Linked DNA regions of Caenorhabditis elegans. The protein of the gene in region 1 interacts with the protein of each later gene in a pairwise test. Each region holds a gene or a part of one and is shown in the gene's direction. Other genes may lie near its edges.

The links. Proteins that work in one complex are often made in the same cells at the same time.
Region 2: the proteins of unc-11 (region 1) and eya-1 interact in binary tests that used the Caenorhabditis elegans proteins (3 or more experiments, as listed by UniProt).
Region 3: the proteins of unc-11 (region 1) and itsn-1 interact in a two-hybrid assay, tested with the Caenorhabditis elegans proteins (3 studies listed by BioGRID).

Annotation. Positions count from the first base shown.
Region 1 is NC_003279.8:3,799,740-3,807,302, reverse strand, and holds the start of unc-11 (Phosphatidylinositol-binding clathrin assembly protein unc-11), read left to right. Parts: upstream 1-1,563; 5' UTR 1,564-1,598; coding exon 1,599-1,669; intron 1,670-1,805; coding exon 1,806-1,909; intron 1,910-2,210; coding exon 2,211-2,524; intron 2,525-3,011; coding exon 3,012-3,287; intron 3,288-3,799; coding exon 3,800-4,292; intron 4,293-5,348; coding exon 5,349-5,468; intron 5,469-6,332; coding exon 6,333-6,494; intron 6,495-7,023; coding exon 7,024-7,111; intron 7,112-7,270; coding exon 7,271-7,422; intron 7,423-7,563.
Region 2 is NC_003279.8:14,228,356-14,233,306, reverse strand, and holds the start of eya-1 (Protein phosphatase eya-1), read left to right. Parts: upstream 1-1,946; 5' UTR 1,947-2,064; coding exon 2,065-2,082; intron 2,083-2,276; exon of another isoform or gene 2,277-2,318; intron 2,319-4,205; exon of another isoform or gene 4,206-4,275; intron 4,276-4,951. Other genes in the region: clec-114 (PAN-3 domain-containing protein), read left to right, coding at 176-272. UniProt on the Caenorhabditis elegans protein: Tyrosine protein phosphatase. Acts probably as a transcription regulator in the embryonic and postembryonic development of several tissues including pharynx, vulva and gonads. Required for the development of anterior tissues during late embryogenesis.
Region 3 is NC_003282.8:17,118,009-17,125,686, forward strand, and holds the start of itsn-1 (Intersectin-1), read left to right. Parts: upstream 1-1,673; 5' UTR 1,674-1,675; coding exon 1,676-1,825; intron 1,826-1,876; coding exon 1,877-2,461; intron 2,462-2,944; coding exon 2,945-3,406; intron 3,407-3,553; coding exon 3,554-3,778; intron 3,779-3,818; coding exon 3,819-4,455; intron 4,456-5,236; coding exon 5,237-5,607; intron 5,608-6,193; coding exon 6,194-6,510; intron 6,511-7,410; coding exon 7,411-7,678. Other genes in the region: uaf-2 (Splicing factor U2AF 35 kDa subunit), read right to left, coding at 57-391, 443-535.

The DNA of each region.
Region 1 (7,563 bases):
CGCAGCGAAAACCACAGTAATTCTTTAAATGAGTACTGTAGCGCTTGTGTCGATTTACGGGCTCGATTTTTAAAATAATTTATTTAACGATAAAATATCAAAATTAATGTAAGAAAAAAAAGAGAAAATATCACGAAGAAACGTAGGAAAAACGAGCCCCGTAAATCGACACAAGCGCTACAGTACTCATTCAAAGAATTACTGTAGTTTTCGCTACGAGATATTTTACGCGTCAAATATGTTGCGCAATACGCATTCTCAAAATTTTGTTTTCCCGTAATATCCAAGAATGCTGAATTTTCATAACAATAAAAATAAAAACTCATTGTCAATAGATCCAGTGTTTATTTATCTGTCTAACCGTCTAAAACTCTAACTTTTCAGTTGACTCTCGCTCGATAGGTATCATTTTCATTAAAATGTTAATGTTTATAGTATTCTTTCCATACAATTTATGTGCCAACCACCTCTTCTTTTTTGCATTGAATCCCCCGATGGCGTCATCCTTCTCGTCCTCACCATTTGGTGTGTCTGTGTCTCTCCGTCCTATCCACTATCTTTCATCCAGATTCCCGGTTTTCCCGAGAAAAAGTGAGAGAGAGAAGAGGCTACTGCGCGGCGACACTGGCTGCGGACACCCTCACTCCTCTACTTGTCTCCATCGATTTTCGCTGGTTCGTCGAAGCCTCGTCGCCAACACAACTTCTTCTTCTTTTTCGTCCTCTTCTTTTCTGCCACACGCTTGCACAGCTTCTTCTTCTCATTTTACGCTGTCTACTTTTTTCGGAGGGGCCATACCCCCACACACAGCTCCTTTTATTTGGCAGTTTTGGCATTTTTGAGGAAAAGTTCTGATAAAATGTATGAAATGACGTTTATTTTTGTGCTTTCCAGTTTAATCTTTTGTTGAACTTGATCGCAACATAAATTTATGTTTCGAAATCTCTCTCTCTTTTTTGGCAAATCCCTGCGGAAATGAGAAAAATTTGAAAAAGAATTGATGATTCAGAATTGGAATTTTTATTTGTATTTATTTTTTTGAAAAAAAAAACAATTTAACTTGCACTTTTATTCTTCAGAGCCAAAAAAGAAATGGCTCAAAAATAGAAAATGATCATTTTTAATCAATAATTGTAAATACCGTACTTCATCTGAAGGCGCAAGCGGTTAATTCATTCCTTGAGTCTCACCACGAATACCGTAGTTACATTTAAAGGCGCAGGCCTCGACGAGTGTTTGTAAGCGCTTTTTTTTAACTTTCAGAGATTTTATTTTTTCGTCATTTTTTCCAAAAACAAGGAAATCAATTCAGTTTTTGATTGAATATGTTTCGAAAAAAGAAAGAACTGTCAATCACACAAATTCACATCAATTTCCACTCGAAAAACGGCACAAAACGATGTGTTTGGAAATGTTCTTTGGCACAAAAATCAATAAAATTGCCAAACTCTTTTGTGATTGTGGTTCCTGCATCTCTCCGTTTCCCCCAATTTACCTGATCACTTTCACGTTCTTCCGTAACTGCTGACGCATTGAATGCACCTGATTTTGTTTGCTTACTGCAGGTAGACCGACGCCAACCCCCCTTGCTGCTCGACATGCAGACTATCGAGAAAGCGCTGCATCAACCGATGCCTTTCACAACCGGCGGGCAGACTATTTCAGACCGGTAAGCGATTTTTCTTTTCGATTTCTTGTTTTAAGTTCGAATTTTCAAGAACAAAATTGTTCTAAATTCAAAATAAAAGTGTATGTTTTCAAAAATTTCAAAAAATCAGTGTTAAAATGTATAAAATAATTTTCAGATTGACAGCTGCAAAGCACTCTTTGGCTGGAAGCCAACTTGGCAAGACAATATGCAAGGCGACTACCGAAGAAGTTATGGCCCCGAAGAAAAAGCATTTGGATTGTTAGTTCTTGATTTTTTTAAAGCAAAAATCTGAAATTCTGCATGTCACAGCTGTGGGAAAATTGATTTTTAATTAATTATTGTCCTGGTTTGAGTTTGTCGCTTAAATTTGCTGATTTTTCACTTAATTTTGTTGATTTAGCCACATTTAGAGCTAAATTTGGTTGCAAAATAAATCAAACATTATGTAAAATTCAATTTCCAGCAGCTGCAAAGTAGGCAATTAGGAAATTTTTCGCTGAAATTAGCTCTCGAAATTAGTTTTTTTTGCCACAGGTTGAGTATACGAATATAATTCCAGACCTCCTTCACTGCACAAATGAGCCAAATGTTTCGATTCCATCAATGGCCAATCTTCTAATCGAACGGACTCAAAATCCAAATTGGACCGTCGTTTACAAGGCTCTCATCACAATTCACAACATTATGTGCTACGGAAATGAGCGATTTTCGCAATATCTAGCCTCATGTAACACGACTTTCAATTTGACCGCGTTCGTGGATAAGGTTGGAGGCGCCGGCGGATATGATATGTCTACACATGTCAGACGGTACGCAAAGTACATTGGCGAGAAGATTAATACTTATCGAATGTGTGCATTTGATTTCTGCAAGGTATGTTGGAGAATATATTCTCTAAATTCAAAAAAAAAATTAAAAGCTAAGTAAATAAAGTAAATTTGTGGCTTTAAATGGCAGAATATAGATCGAATATAACTGTAAAAATTATAATTTTGCAAAAATTGAAAAAAAAAAAACGATAATTATTTTAATTTAAAATCTTGGTATTGCTTTTATTGTCAGTGTTTCAAAAAATTTTCCTTTAAAAATGTGAAATTATCGATTTTTAGGCCTTTTGATATTTTTCTTTCTGATAATATAGTTTTTATCAATTAAATTTGTCTGAAAATTTACAAGCTGTTTTTCATATCAAATTTTTTTTAAATCATGAAAACCCAATCAGCATTGCAAAAAACGCGGGAATTCAAAAAGATTTTTTGCAAACTTGAAAAAAATCATCAAAAATGTTATAAATTTTTTAACAGTTATTTAAAGCAATTTTTTTTTGACTCTACTAATTGACGAAATATGAAATTTTCAGGTGAAACGCGGTCGTGAAGATGGGCTTTTGCGTACAATGCACACTGACAAGTTGCTCAAAACAATTCCAATTCTTCAAAATCAAATCGATGCACTTTTGGAGTTTTCAGTGACCACTTCAGAGCTGAATAATGGAGTTATCAATTGCTCATTTATTCTTCTTTTCCGTGATTTGATTCGATTATTTGCTTGTTATAATGATGGAATTATTAATGTGCTTGAAAAGTACTTTGATATGAACAAGAAGCAGTGTCGTGATGCTTTGGATACTTATAAGGTAAAAAAATACTTTTTTTTTCAATTTAAAAAAAAAAAGAGGTCTTTGAAACTTAATTTTCCAAATTTTCAGACATTTTCAGCACAACAAGTTTACATAAACTTTGAATTTTCGAATTTTATGCAGATTTTAGTTTTTTTTTTGCGGGAAAAAGTTATGAAAATTTGATAAATGATTCTTAAATTCAATTATAAAAAATATATCCTGTTTGCGCGGGAATTAAAAAATAATTCAGATTTTTCTAATGTTTTTTTTCAAAATAAAAAAAATTGAACATTTCAGAAAGTTACAAAAAACCGATTTAATCGGAAAAATCGGTTAAAAATTTTTATGATATTTTTTTCAATTTTGTAAAATAAAATCTGGCTTTTTGATTTTTTAATTTTCGGATTTTATGCAGATTTTTTTTTTTTTTTCAATTTAAGAAGCTTCGATGTCAAAAATTAAGAAGAACACAAAAATATTAAAAATTTCATTTCCCTAAAAACTAATAATTTTCAAAAATTTTGCAGTCCTTCCTCACCCGACTCGACAAAGTTGCCGAATTCCTTCGCGTCGCCGAATCCGTCGGAATCGACCGTGGAGAGATTCCAGATTTGACACGTGCTCCAGCGAGTCTTCTCGAAGCACTTGAAGCTCATCTCATCCATCTCGAAGGAGGAAAAGCTCCACCACCAACTCAACAACATGTTGCACCACATCAATTCACCACTGGATTCGCATTTTCTCAACAACCACAACCGGCACTTGGTGACGCTGAACGACAACGGTATATTGAGTTGGAACAAGAGAGATTGAGACAGTTTGAAGATCAGAAGAAATCGATTAATTCTGCAAATCCATTCGCAAATGATGTCGCTTCGGCTGCACCTGCTCCAGCTACATCAGCTGCTCAGCCGGATCTTTTGGATATGTTCCAATCATCGGCAGCTCCAGCTCCTCAAACGGCTGATGTGACGAATCCATTTGGGAACTTTGCAGCTCCAAGTGCCTTCCCAACGAATGGTACGTTGAAATTTTCCGAAATTAAAGGAATTGGCCTCAGAAAAAGATCGAATTTCATAAGGAGACTTTTCAAAAAATTTAACAAAATTTTTTATGCCATAGGAAAATTGAAAAATTGAAAAAAAAATATTTTTTAAATAAAATTATGCTGGTTAAAAAAAAAACATAATTGTCTTCTAAAAAGAATAAAAATTGCCAAAATTTTAGACTACTTTACGATAAATTTTTTTTACGGTTTTCAGGGAAAATTGAAAAATTGAAGATCGAAAAATCCAAAAAAAAATTTAGAAACTTTTTTTAATAAAATTTTGTTCAAGTTACTTTGTAAAAACCATTTCAAAAACATCTATTTTTATTCTGAAAATATGAAAAATCGCCAAAATTTAAGATTTTTTCGAAAAAGTAGAAAAAAAATCGAAATATCGAAATTTTTTTCTCTCTCATATCGAATTTTTTTTCTCTCGTTCTTTTAAAAAAATGTTTCCAGAGAAAATCGAAAAAATGTTTTTAAAATTTACAAAACAATTTGTTTTTATAAAATTTTTTATGTTGATTTAAAAAAAAACAAAAAAAATCTGAAAAATCGAAAAATTTCCGATTTTCGTTTTTTTTTCAATTTTCTTCCTAATCATGCCAACTTTCATGTGCTTCTGCGGCCGGAAATTAATTTTTATTTGATTATTTCTCCATTTCGGTTACTTTTGTCACTTATCCTACGGTTTTTCCGTTAATTTAGCCTCATTTTAAGCCGATGGCTGCTAAATTTCGTTTAATGTACCTAAATCGATGAAAAATATGCAGAATAGGCTTGAAAAATCGGGGATTTTAGCTGAAATTAAGCTATTTTGAACAGTCATGAAAATAAATAATTTTTTGAAATGTCTCGTTATGAAATTCTTTTTTTTTGTTGGTAATTTTGAATATTTTTAAAAAATCAGAAAAAAATATTTCGCCTTAAAATTTAATTGCTTCACTAACATTTAACCCTTTGTTTCCACAATCTATGTTTCTCTCAAATCTTCCTTTGTTTTTTTTTTCATTTCACCTATGTTTTAGTGCCACCACCAGCAGCACACTCGGCTCCATTTGGAGTTCAACCAGCACCGCAACATTCAGCTGCACCATTCTATGCGAACCTTCATCAAGCTCCTCCAATGCAATCGCAAGCTCCAAATGGTGAGTTGTGGCGTTGTGTGTGTGTGTGTTGATTTGCATGTGTGGTTTTTTTTGCTTGGAAAATAATAATTTTTTAACTTAATAATTGGGGAAAAAAATAAAAAATTAATCGAAAAAATTATTAAAAATGCGCTGAAATATCGGTAAAAATAAGAAAAAAAGATTTTTAAAAAATCGGGGAAAGTCGAAAATATTTCCGAAAAATTAGAAAACGAAAATTGTCGTTTTTTCTATATTTTATAAAAAAAATATTATAGGCGGAATTTTTTTGTTGAAAATTGTAAATTGACACTTTAATAAATTTTGAAAAAAAAATTTTTTTTTACATAAAATTCAATTTTCGATATTTCTATATTTACCTAGGAATTTTTCAAAAATTAAAAAAAAATATCAAAAAATCGGATAATTCATTTATTTTTCCTCTAAAATACTCCAAAAAGTTGTTAAAAACTCGAAAGTTTTAGATTTTTTCAAATTAAACATTTAAATTTTCTCTTAAAAAAACGTATACTATAATATCAAAAATTGAAATTTTACGTTTTTCAATCTTTAAAAAAATATTTCCAATGTGCCTCTGAAAACGCCAAAAAACGTTTAAAAAATTATCTTTTCGATTTAAATTTTTTAGAAAAGCGCTTTTAAAAAATTCTAAAAACCGAAATTTTCGATTTTCAACCTCTAAACAAAAATTCTCAATTTATTTTTTTCCGGGATTTTTCAATTTTGGCTTCTTCTTTTAAAATAACTTTTAAAAAGCATGTTTTGGTGGTTCTGAATATTTTCTCCTCCGTCTTGACGTCGTCATCTTCTCGTTGTACCTCTGGAAATTAGAAATATACCAAATAGAAAGTGTGGCAATTTAAGAGCCCGAAAACCCATTTATAACTGCTCCCGCGGCACCACAAATGCACAATGCGCCGCCCGTCCCACCACCACCAGCATCTCAGGGGGCTCCAGCTCCTATCAATCCTTTTGCTGATCCTTCAGCTACTGCTGCTTCTTCAGCACAACCGTTTGGGGATCCAGGTGAATTAACTCACACTTACTTACCTTTCGATTTGTTGCTAAAAATACACGGCTTTCTTTTTTTATAACAAAAGGGAATTTTTTCTGAAATATACTAAAACTGGTCCGACGCGACCAAATTTAGCATCGAGACTTCTCCAAAAATTTATAAATTTACAGAAAAAAGAGCCAAGTTTCGTTAAAATTTGAAATTTCTCAGATTTGTTTCAGTCGTAGCAGCTGGAATACATTTTTATTGAAAAATCATCTTTCATCGCATGTTTTGGGAGTTTGAACCGTCCGAAATATGCAATAGAGGGAGATTTTTCATTTAAAAATTGTATTCCAGCCGAATGAAACGATTCTGGGAAATTTTAAATTTTAACGAGAAAAGTAAATTTTTGAGAAGTTTCAGTCTATTTCCGCAAAAAAAAACTCATTAACTCTACTTCAACATTAATACAGTTTTACAGTTTTTCATAACCACCCCACATTTCAGATGACTTCAAATTTGAACAAAAAAATGTAAAAATTAAAATATTAATTCCAGGTCATCAAGCTGCTCCATTCGGATATCCAAATGCTCATCCAGATGATCTTGCTCGAATGACTGCACAAATGTCATTGAATCAGCAGGGGTAGGATTATTTTTGTCAATTTTAATGCAATTTTTGTTGCAATTTTTTTCGTGACTCACGACACGAACGAACCACTAGGGCTAGATTATACATATTACCTTTTACAAAATTTCACAATTTCTAAAGAAAATCGAAAAATCTTGCCTAAAAATATCTTAGTTACAGAGCACCGGCCGGCTGGAATACCACAACTTCTGCCGTCTCAAACAATCCGTTTGGAGCAACGTCGGCTCCTCAGCCAATGTATACGGCTCCAATGGGAATGTATCAACAACCATTTGGTGCTCAGCCAATGTGGAATCCTGCGATGGGTTAGTTTATCGAAAAAACGAGGAATTTTTTTAAAATTAGAATCTCGGAACAATTGAATTTTTATCTAATTTTTCACAATATTTCAAGATTATTTTAAATGTGAAAATCGATTTTGAAGCATTTTTTGTTAATTTTTGCTT
Region 2 (4,951 bases), about 10 Mb from region 1:
CTCTTCTAAGCTCACATAGCTATGGAAACTTGAGCTTTAATGTTTTTTCTCGAAAAATTGACATTTTTGGGAAAGGGAAGGAATATAACACTTTCACTATGCGCCAGTTGGACCATTTTTTGTGAATTTTTTTATTTAAAAAATCCAATTTTTTCCAAATATTCGAATTTTTTAGATGCAACATGTCAACCGCAGGGCTGGTACCCACAAATATATGCTACAAAGGATACGTCTGCGGAGTGAAGCCCACTAGTCTAAATTCAACATTTTAATTTTATTTTTCAAACTTCCAGGTTCATAAACTGTTCGAGAAGCCCACAGAAGCATTTTTCTCGAGAGTTTCCGAATTCGACCTGCTAATTTTTGAAAGCAGTACCTGAATTATTGAAAACTTCTTATTAAGACTTCTAATTTTATTTTGCTATTCAAATTTCATATTTTCTAGAACTTTTCAACTTTTTGTCCGACTGGCTCAGTGGGATTTTGGGTGACTACCAATTTCACCACCTGGGTTCGAGTCCGCGCCTTGGCATATTTTTTTGTTTTAGTGTTATTTGGCTAATATCGACATTCTGAATCCGAATTTCAAGGTCCCATGCCTTAAAACTCAATGGGTTTCCTCCAAAATCAATATTCCATTGCAAAATCGTCCCTCGTCCCATATACTACTAAAATTGAAGTCAGCGTCTCGACTCTGTGCTCCCGAAAACTGAAATATGATCGCTTCGCCGCTTTCGCACGCTCCCCATCTCCCTATACTCTCAGAAATGAGAGGAAAATAAGGGAAGGGGGTAAAATCAACAAATAATATCGATTTTTTGAGAAGGTATAAAAGTTCGAAAAAATCACAAAGCAGTGTGGAAATGTCTAATTTTTGACCGAATTCGAACTCGGAAAGTCGAAATTTAGTAGAATAACACCAAAAAAAAAATTATGCCACATCGCGGACTCGAACCCCGGACCTCAGATTGGTAGCTGGCTAGAATCCCACTGAGCCACTCGTACACAAAAAGAAATTAAGTTTGAGCCGACCTAGCAAGTCTTTCTGGTTTTGAGAGTTGAAAATTCGAATTCAGGAGATTTGTATTATTCTGAGAACAGCAAAACAAAAATTCATGCCACAGTGCGGACTCGAACCCCGGTCGTAAGATTGGTAGCCGGCCAAAATCCCACTGAGCCATTCGGCCAAATTTTCAGAAAAACTTGAAAATTACGGTTTGAGCTGATTTTTCAGCAATTTCGATATATTTTTTTTTTCCAATTTTGAACTTGTTTTAAAGTTGTTCAAGCTATTGGAGACCAAGCTTCGAAGGGATATATATATATCCCCAAAATGTTGAAAATGTTATTACAAATAGTATATAAGTCAGAAATCCGTGTTCAGCAGGGCTTGTATAGTCAAACCAATAAATAAAAAAATTTATGACACAGTGCGGACTCGAACCCCGGTTGTCAGATTGGAAGCCCTCCAAAATCCCACTGAGCCATTCGAGCAAATTTTCAGAAAATCGAGGTTTGAGCTGATTTTTAAAAATTTTGAGCATTTTTTGGGACTGTTCAGCATATGTCTCATGTGTGCTAGGTGCAATGAGCTATTAAAATTTAAGCTTGATAGTTTATTTTCAATAAAAAGTTAAAAATTTGTATGTTAAAAATTCGTGTTCAGCAGGGCTTATATAGTCGAACCAACAAAGAAAAAAAATTATGCCACAGTGCGGAGTCGAACCCCGGTCGTCAGATTGGTAGCCCTCCAAAATCCCACTGAGTCACTCGTACAAAACTTTTTTTTCAAAATTAATTTTTCAGAATCCGAAAATAATGCGATTTTCCACCAAAAGGCGGAGCTCCGAGCAGACAGCCGACTGGCTCAGACATACGGTAGCTCAGGGGTGAGAGCTCCGAGAGCTCAGAGAGCCGGCAGAGAAAACGAGAGCACACACACACACACAAATACATCAGAGTCAGTCTCTCCCTGCTTCTGCGTGCCAGTTGCTCAAATTTTTGCTCAACAATTTCCAAATCTATATATCTGAAATTGTTCGCAATTCCTGAATCAAAAAAAAAATGCTTCCAGATTCTGAGGTGAGTTATATGTCGCTTCAGGGCGCCCCCGGGCGCCCGGTACCCCATCCCAAAAGTATCAAATATCGGCATGGTGATGAAACTGGAGAAAGTTCTGCGAGAAGGGTCTGTCTGTAAGATGAGCTCTTCCAAGACACCCCCCCCCCCCCCCCCCCCCCCCCCTCCATGTACCTCCTTTCCCCATTCAGTACCTAGACAGTTCTAGCTAACCTCTCCTACAATGTTCTCTGTATTTTGTGAGTTTTCTAAACCGTGAACTTTAATTTAAAAAACTCGAAAAATCGATATTTCTAATCTTAAAAATGTTCCTGAATGGCGCAGTGGGTTTTTGGACAGCTTCCGAGCAGAAGCCCGGGGTTCGAGTCCCCGCTGTAGCATTTATTTTTGTTTTTGTGTGGATGAGCTATATAAATGATTCTTGGCTTTAATTTCCTTGTAACCCAGAAAAAAAGCTCTCGGAGCTCAAAACGAGTAGAACTGCGAATTTTAATGGTACGGGGTTGGGGTTTCAGATAAAAATGTAGATTTTTAAGCTGAAATAAACTTTTTTCAGAGCTTTTACTCTTCATTTTTCGCAATTTCGAAAATTTGGTCCAAGTGGCGCAGTGGGATTTCGGATGACTTCCAATCTGACGACCGGGGTTCGAGTCCGCACTGTGGCACAATTTTTTCATTTTACTGTTTCTAGATTAATTTGAGTGCGCTGAGTTCAAATTTCTATCTTTTAAACTTCTAGGTTGAAGTTTTTTAGTAGAAAATTCCGAACTTTGTTGCAACTCGGAAAAATAAACAAATCAATAATTAGCGAAGTTTATAATCCACGTAAACAAATGTCTGGGTCACCTGGTGCTCAATGAGCACACTTATTTTTGATTTTCACTATTTTTCCAAAAAGATACATTTTTAACTAGGAACTTGCTCCGAATCGCCTTTTAAACTGACATTAATCAGAAAAATTATCAAAAATTATGATGTACATCCCTATTGTAAATTTTGGATTTTTTTTTTGGTCAATTTATGCGACTAGTTGATTTTAGGCACCCCTTAGTCTTTTTCCAATACCCAGTTGAGTCTAGATACCCCCTCACGCAACCATATTACATCATTATATAGCCATCATTAGCCAACTTGCAACAGTTGGGGGGACCCCCTGTGGTGACGGGATCGAATTCAGAGGTCTTGGGGCTCTTCGATGCACAATTTCTGTGGCAAAGCAGTAAAAAATCCAAAAATAAAATTTCGAAAATTTGGTGCAAGTGGCTCAGTGGGATTTTGGTGGGCTTCCAAGCAGAAGACCGGGTTCGAGTCCGCGCTGTGGCTTAATTTTTTTTTTTTGGTGTTTTAGACTAATTTGGGTATAGGCATGTCGAAAATTTTAGTCACGAGTCAGAAAATGGCTCAATGAGCATAAGAGATGAGTTTGAAAATTTCCTGGCGCTTATTTTTAAATTTTTAAAACCCTCGTAACTTTAAAACTAGAATAGCAAGAAAAAAGTTTCCAACCACAAAATTGTAGGAAATTTTCCAAGTAATATTTTGCTAGTTGACAACTTTCCTCGAACTATGCTCTCCACCGAGTTATGGTAGAAATCGCAACACCTGTTTGGTGGCGGGGAGCTCTGAGAAAACTCCCGCGGCTCTTTTCTTACCTGTTCGCCGGCGGTCACTTGAAACTAGATACCCTTATACCTTTTTTCCGCACCGGGCTCTTACTAAGTTTTAGGGCTTTTGGGGAACCCTCCGGGATTGATTCAAGTCAAATTTTTTTGGCCGGTTTTTATCAAAATTTTAATTTTTTCACTCATTACTTCACTGCCCCCCGGCCTAGTTATCACCTCCACTACCGTGTATTTGAACAACAGCGACATATGTAAAGCTCCTGTGCTACTGCTCGCCGAGCAAACAAATACAGATGGCATTGTTTGTGAAGCACCCCGTCCGACGCCTTGAAAGTAGTGAGGGAAGAAGAAGCTGAGAGCTGTATGTAAATGGAGTGGTGGCTCGGGTTTCGTCATTATTCCTGAGAACGGAAATTCGCAAGCTTTGGAGGGGTCCTGATGGGGTTCAGAAGTCTGTAAAAGCATTGAAAAAGAAAAAGAAAAAATATATGCCACAGCGGGGGTTCGAACCCGGGCCGTGAGATTGGTAGACGCCGAGAATCCCACTGAGCCATACGGTCAATTTTTTTGAAAATTTTGAAAATCGAGGGTTTTTGTTGGTTTGTAGGCAATTTCTCCAAATTTTGAGCTGGTTTTTAAAATATCCTGGGCTCAGTGAGCATTTCAAGATTTGATAAAAAATTCCCCGGTTTAGTATAAAAACACCTAAATAAAAATATATGCCACAGCGGGGGTTCGAGCCCTGGTTGTAACTTTGGTAGCCGCTGAAAATCGCACAGAGCCATTTGGACAACTTTTCTGAAAATTTTTAAAAATGAGGGATTTTTGCTGATTTTCAATTATTTTGTTAAGTTTTTTTTTTCAGTATATTAGCCTCATTTTTAGGGTATTCTAGGCTTAATGTACATCCGAATCAAGGGTGTCATTTTTCGATTTTTCGATTTTTTTGATTTTTTCGATTTTTCGATTTTTCGATGTTTTTCAGTGAAAATTTACTGTTTTGATTATCCTTCCCTGTGGGGGAACCCTTTTTGAATAGATATTTACAACCTCCTACAACGAAAAGGTTCAAAAATAAAACATTATCAGCTGTTTTGTAAGTTTATTTCAAAAATCGAAAAATTTTTCGATTTTCGATTTTTCGTTTTTTTCGGAAAATCGAAAAACGAAAAATTTTCGATTTTTCGAATTTGAAAAAACGAAAAATCGAAAATTTTTAATTTTTCGATTTTCTGGAAAAATCGAAAAAC
Region 3 (7,678 bases), on another chromosome or scaffold:
CACAGCACTTGAGCTCAGCTTGAGCCCTATCAACACAGCAGCTTCAGCTTACGCACCATCGATTATTCAAATCATTCTTTGCTTTCTCGGCGTCCTCTTCCTTCATAAATTTGACGTATACGTTTCCGACCATGTGTTCTCCGATATTCTCACAAACGTTGATCTCCTCCACTTCTCCATATTTTCGCTCCATCTCCACAAAAACCTCCTCGTAGAAATCGTCAAAATAGCGCTGTTCCTGATCATTCCGCTTGCCGACTTTATCGAAAGCATCCGCCTGACGGACATCCACTACCGGATTGTGGTAGAAGTTTTTGAGCACAACTGTTGGCGAGAATGTCGGTGTATGATGGGCTCTGGAGCATTTGTCTCCGTGGCGGCAGGCTCCTGTCTGCAAAAATTATTTAATTATTGAATTTTTTCACAGAAATCCACAACAAACCTTGAAGAAAAACGAGCAATTGACTTTATCCTTCTCAGTACCATAGATTGAGGCCAGGTACTCGGCTCCGGAGAGCCCGTCACCATACGACATTGGGATTCACTAAAAAAAATGATTTTTGACGAAAAATTCAATTTCAGCGGGAAAACCCTGAGAATTACGATTTTTAAACACAAATTCTGACGGAAATACTTCAGAATACAACGTAAAACTCAAAATATCAAGAATTCAATGCAAAAAACAAACTGCGAACCTGAAACAGATAGAAAATGGAAATAATAACCAACTGCCCTGCTAAATTCGAAAACGCAACGAGGCACGCTTTTGTGGGCGGGGCGAGCGTCGGCAAGGTGAGCGCGCGCGTTTTTCTAGCGTTTTCTCTATTTTTCTTTTTTTCTCCCATGACCAGAGATTAATAAATAAGTTGAAATTTAAGTGAATTTCTCTTCAATTTTCCGCGATTATACCGATTAATTCATGCACCAAGGCTGAAAGAACATTTAAAAATCAATTGGAGCTCAAAATTATTTGGAGAAAACTCAAGAATACGAGATTTTTCACTCTAAAACTAAAATTTGTTCTTAAAATGCAAAGTTTTAAATGAAAAAAAAAACATTGATTTTTTTAAATATATAAAAAAGGGGTTTTTGATTCCTTTAAAATTCTCTGCGTCTCTTGCATCTCTCGCCGCGCGCTCTCGGGGACCACTCCTCTTTTGGGGCACGCAAAAATCGATAAGCTTTCGGCGGCGCTTGGCCTCTTTCTTATTTCTTCTTATTTCTCAGTTCCTGAATCCAAATTTACAGAAATTTCGGCGCATTTTCTCTTTTTGTTGCGAAATTCGCATTTTTAGCGTTTTTAATCGAAAAACCCCCAATTGACAAATCCGTGGGAAGTTTACATAGAAATTTCCAGCTAAATTAGGGAAAAATCACGAATTTTAGCCAAAAAATTACATTTTATTGAGCCGCCTCGCTCGCCGGCCGCGCCGCGCCGCGGCCAATTTTTACAGAAATGGCCGAGAGGGAACCTAGGCCACGGCCACGACCGCGACGCAGCTGGCGAGCGGAGCGGCTCAAAAAAATCTATTGTTTGCCCAAAAACATGTGTTTTTTCATCATTTTCGCTGATTCTTCGCATAAATTTCCAGTTAAATTAGAAAAATATGGCTCGTTTTTTCCCTTTTTTGTTGCGAAATTCCCATTTTTTGTCGAAAAATCCCCTGTTCTCCAGATGACAAATCCTTGGGAAGTTTCCGATGCCGAATATCAGAAGAATTTCGCAATGTTCGGCCAATTAACCGGAGGACAACCGTTTATGGATGCGGTCACTGCACGAAATGCACTAATGCGCAGCAATCTGCCAACGCAAGTGCTTTCTCAGGTTGATATTAAACTTTAAAAAAAAAAATGTTTTTATTCAAACAATTTCCAGATCTGGGCGCTGTCAGACTTGGATAAAGACGGCCGGCTCGATATTCGTGAATACTCTATCGCGATGCGACTTGCTCTGAATTGTCTTGCCGGAATTCCGATTCCTCCGCAACTTCCGCCTTCCCTGCTGGTAGTTCCCGCCAGAAATGCTCCACCAACCTGGCCTGGAAGCCGGCATGGCAGTGTAGACTACTCACAAACTCTTCCACCGGCCATTGATCGTCGAATGTCGCAGTCATACATCCCATCTGCACCGGTTTCGATTGCCGGAACTCCATCTAGCAGACACAACTCGATTTCAGCTGGAAGCCCTTTGAATAATGATCGCAATGTCTTCGAAGGCCGGCAGCTGGAAAACTGGGCGATTCCTCACCACAATAAATTAAAATATTCTCAATTGTTTAATGCTCTCGACAAGGAACGTCTGGGCTCCCTGAGCTCACAAGTCGGACGGAGTGCTCTCGGGCTTTCAGGCCTTCCTACCAATGTTCTCGCGCATATCTGGTTTTTGTCAGATGTGAATAAGGATGGAAAGCTATCAGTGGATGAGTATGCGATTTCTCAGTATATGATTGAAATGTTCAAAGTATGTGTTTTGTTACCGGCCAGAAGCTCTTTATTCAAAAATTGCACTTTTTCCATGAAAATCCAACTTTTCTGATCTAAAATTGATATAAAAATGTAGAAAAAGGTTCTTTCCATCTGAAAATATTGTATTTTTCATGTTTTTTCAACAAAAATAAGGAATATTTTCAATTTTATTTGTCAAAAACTTGGAATTTCAAAATAAAAAGTCAAGCCACGTGGACGCTCCTCCCACTTTGCAACATGCGGCGCGAGTTTTCGCAACACTGCCGCACGGTTGTATTTTCTTCACGAATTATAGTTTTTCAGTGAATTTTACAGGATTTTTCAACGTTTTGCTTGTTTTTTTCAGCAAAATTTCATGTTAAAACGCTGAAAAATCTCAAAATTTCAAATTTTTCTGTACGAAAATCGGAAAATACCCTAAAATCATGAAACACCATAAAAATTTCCGCTGAAAAACTTAAAAAAATTTTTTTTTCAGAGTGGATTCGCGCTTCCAAAAATAACCCCGCTGGAACTTGTCCGGATGTGCGGAATCTCATCAAGATCAGCCAACAATACCCCTGAACTCGAACCAGGAGCGGAGCCACCACAAAAGTCACCAGCTCCGAAAACTTTTGAAGATAAGCGACAGGATAACCTATCTAAAGGTCAGGCAGAACTGGAGAGACGACGTAGAGTTCTTGAAGAAGAGGAGCAACGAAGACGAGCAGAAGTAGAGAAGAAAGAGAGAGAAGAAGAAGCGAAGAAAAATAGAGAAAGACAAGAAAAGGAACGACAGGCTGAAGTTGAGCGGCAAGCTGAACTAGAAAGACAGAGAATAATTGAAGCTCAACGGGAGGAAGAGGAGAAGAAGCGGAGGCTAGAGATGGAGAGACGCAGAGAGGAGGACGAGAAAATGAGAAAAGTTCAAATGGAGAAGGCGAAAGTTAAACAGATGCAGGTACAGATGCCTGAACAGAAAAAATGGAATTTTTATGTGGATTCTAGGCGATTTTTTGAGTTTTTCTTTTGAAAATTGAACTTTTGGAACACAGAAATTTTATTTACTCATGATAAAAAAAAACCAAATTTAAATCCCTAATTTCAGAACCAGAAGCAACAAGAGAACGAGCGTCTTGCACAACGTCAGCAACGAGAAAAAACGCTGCAATTTCAATTACAAGCACTTGATGAGAAGGTTATCGATGTTGAAGTGGACATTGGAAAAGCCAAAGAAGCAGTAGCAGAAGTGACTGGATTTATTGAGAGAATGAGATCTACGAGAGACGAGAAAGTCGCGAGAATTAAAGAATTACAAGAGACTAATCAGAAGGTAATACGCGTTTAATCTATATGCAAATTACCCAAAAAAGTTCCAGACAGCTATCGAATCTCAAGAACTCGGCCATCAGCTTCTACAAAAACAGTCGGCTCACAAGGAGACAACGCAGAGAAAAAGTGAACTAGAAGCACTGCGAAGGAAACGAGATGCTATTCGAAAAGCTATAGAAGATGCCGCTCTGGAATTATCCACAGAAAAAGAGAAATCGTATAATCAGACGGAGATTTTAAAGACGAATAAGGAAAAGTATAAGACTGATGTTTATTCGAAACTTGTCGCAAAACGAGAAGAATATCGAAATTCGTTTGAGCTTCTGGTTCATGCTCAGACACATGCCAGGAGCAAAATTGGGGAATTTGAAGCGAAATCTGCTCCAGCTTCAGCTGCTCCAGCTCCTGCTCCTGCTCCAGCTCCTACTACCACCAACGGATTCCCTGCAAACTTCAACGATGCATTCGGAGAATTCGATAAAACCGATGCAAGTCAACGTTTCGACGCGGATTTCGGTGCCACGTCGACAGCGGATCCATTTGCTCAGATTGCTCAGGCGCCAGCTCATTCGAAGGGTGCTGTTGATCAATCGGCGTTCAATATTCATGACACTTATAAGTGTCGAGCTCTTTTTGCGTTTGAAGCAAGATCCGAGGATGAGCTCAGTTTTGAACCAGGTGCTGTCCGAACAGCAATATGTCCCTTTAAATGGCCTTTTGTTGTGTAGATTTACGAGCTTCTCCGGAAAAAGCTCGAAATTTCGGAATTCGTAGGAGAAAAAGTTTGGCATAAAATTCAGGAATTTTTAAATTTTTCCAAAAAAAAATCTGAAAAATTGCAAAATTCCACTAAAATCAAGGAATTTATCTAAAATTTTTAAGAGTTTTTCCAGAAAAAAAGCCAAAAAAAAAGAAAATTTCAATTTTTTTATTCTTATCTCTCATTTAAAATGACTTATTTAATATTTTTGAAATAGTTGCATGGAAAACAAATTAAATGCATAAAAGATGTGAAAAATTTCAGAAAATTTGAATTTTTTCGAAAAAAAAAACTGAAAAATTGCAAAATTCCACTAAAATCAAGGAATTTTACTCAAAAATTCTCAAACTGAGCTGAAAATGATTCCAAAAATTTTGAAATTTGTAGGAGAAAACGTCCAAAATTCAGGAATTTTTAAATTTTTACGAAAAATTATTGGAAAAAAGAACTATTTTTCCGCAGTTTTTTCAAAAAAATTTTGAAATTTTTCAAAAAGTTTGGATTTTTTCGTTTTTGGCAACAAAAAAAACCATCACTAATCAATGTTTACCTAAAAACCCCGTTTTTGTGAAAAAAAAACCCTTTTTTTCCCAAAAAATACCAATTTTTGTCAGAAAAAACTTAACAAAAAGTGTCATTTTTGACAAAAAAAAGGCAAAAATTCGAGAAAAAGTTAATTTTTATTTATTTTTCTTCTAGGAGACGTCATAATCGTCTTCCAATCCCATGCAGCTGAACCAGGATGGCGTGCCGGTCAACTTCGTGAGAAAGTCGGATGGTTCCCAGAAGCATTCGTCGAAGCAATCGCAGCAGTACCTACTCCAGGCGGTGATCCACCTATTCAGAATATGCCACCAAACATGACGCCGAGCTCATCAGTAGATCAAATTGGAGTGAAAGCGGCGCGGAAAGCGGAAATCGCAGCGGCAATGGGATTGACAGAAGGTGGTGCTCCACCTGCTTCAAGTGCTCCAGCAGCAGCAGCAGTAATATCTCAATGTATTGCACAATTCCAATGGAGAGCACGTAATGAGGAGGATTTGTCATTTGCAAAAGGAGATACAATTGAGGTGGAGAGCATTTTGCTGCGAAAAATCCAAAAATTGTCTGAAATTCTTGAGCTTGAACCTGAAAAAAATGAGATTTTACAAGTTTTCCGGCAGAAAATTTGAAAAATTTGAAGTTTTAAGCCAATTCTTAGGAGTTTTCAGCCTATTTTCCTGCAAAAACAGCTTGAAAATGTGATTTTGACGAATTTTTGAAAAAAAAATTGGATTTTCGGTGAAAAAATCGATTTTTAATCTATCTTTCAGCTAAATTGTATGATTTATAAAATAACCTTTTTTCCCAAAAAAAACCATTTTCCCCATAATAACTCTTTTTTCTAAAAAAAAACCTGTTTTCTACCAAAAAAAAACCCATTTTTATCAACAAAGGAACCCAAATTTTCAACAAAAAAAACCTTTTTTACCCCAAAAAAACCTATTTTTCAGCAAAAAAATGAGCGTGGTTTCTGGGGAATTTTTCCAAAAATTTGAAAAAAAATTTAGGATTTTATTCCCATTTCTTCTTTTCACGATTTTTCTTGAATTTCAGACTATTTTTTTTAGATTTTTGAAGGTACACCTTAACTCGAACTAATAACATTAATTTCAGGTACTAGAAAAGCAAGAAATGAAATGGAAAGGTCGAAATCCTGCCGGCGAAATTGGATGGTTCCCGAAAAGTTATGTGAAAGAAGTCGGAGCAACCACCAGCACCACGACTCCGATTGTGTCTCCTTCGAAGGCTTCTGCAGGAGCTCCAGGAGCAGCAGCAGGAGCTCAATACGACGTGGTACCTTCCGATGTGACATTACAAGCCTCCGAAACAGCCCCCCAACAACAACTTTACACTGTGATCTACGATTTTGAAGCTGTCGAGACAACAGATTTGGCACTGCATGTCGGTGACACAATTCTAGTGCTCGAGAAGTAAGTGGAGAGAGGAGCTCTCGCTGCTCTTGACAGGAGCTCATTTGGAATTGAATTTTTTCATTTTTTTGATAGCTTTTCGTATTCTTGCGCTATTATTATTATGCTTAAACGAAAGGTTTCGGGGTATCAATTTATTACATTTTGAACCAAATAAGCCCAAAATTTTTAAAATAATTGTTTCCAATTTTGCAAGGAAAACCCTATTTTTGGCAAAGTAACCTCAAAAAACTATTTCTTGTCCAAAAAAACCTTTTTTTTTTCAAAAAAGTCTAATTTTTGTCAGAAAAAAATCCAAAAATGTGTCGTTTTGCCAAAAACACCAAAAAAATTCCATTTTTGCAACAAAAACAGCTAAAAAATACATTTTTCCCCAGAAAAAAAATCATAAAACTCAGTTTTGCCAAAAAAAAAAACCAAACACGCGTCATGTTTACCAATAAAACTTTTTTTGTTTTAAACCGATTTTTTCAGAAAAAATCCAAAAGTGTCATTTTTAACATTAAAAAAACCTAAAAAGCTATTTTTTCAAAAAAGGCACAATTTTTCTTACTTTTGCCAAAAATGTGTCATTTTCGTCAAAAAAAACCCTGAAAAAAAAACAATTTCCAAAAAACACAATTTTTACCGAAAAAAAATTAAATTTAAAAACCAAAAAAAGCATATTTTCTCAAAAAAATTAATTTCTCCACAAAATTAAAAAAAAGCCCGACAAAATCCAATTTTTGCAAAAAAAAACCGAAATACTCTTTTTTTTCCAAAAAAACTTCATATTAAAAAAAACCCCAAAAACCCAAAAAACTTGTTTTTTAGCCAAAAAAAAATTACTTAAAAACTGAAAAACTGACACCAAAACAAAAATATCAATTTTCAGTGATTTAAATCAAAAAATAATTTCAGAAACGATGAATGGTGGAAAGGGCGTTGCAACGGACGTGAGGGTATCTTCCCAGCCAACTATGTCGAGATATCAGTCCAGCAGGCAGGGGATCCGACTCCACCAACTCAAGCTCCAACTCCAGCGGCTCCACCAACCGTCCTCTGTGAAGCTAAAGTTGTCGTGGATTTTGTTGCATCGGCGCCAAATCAATTGGGAATCAAAGTTGGCGAAATTGTGAAAATTCGTGAAAAATCAGCAGCCGGCTGGTGGGAAGGCGAGCTGATTCGA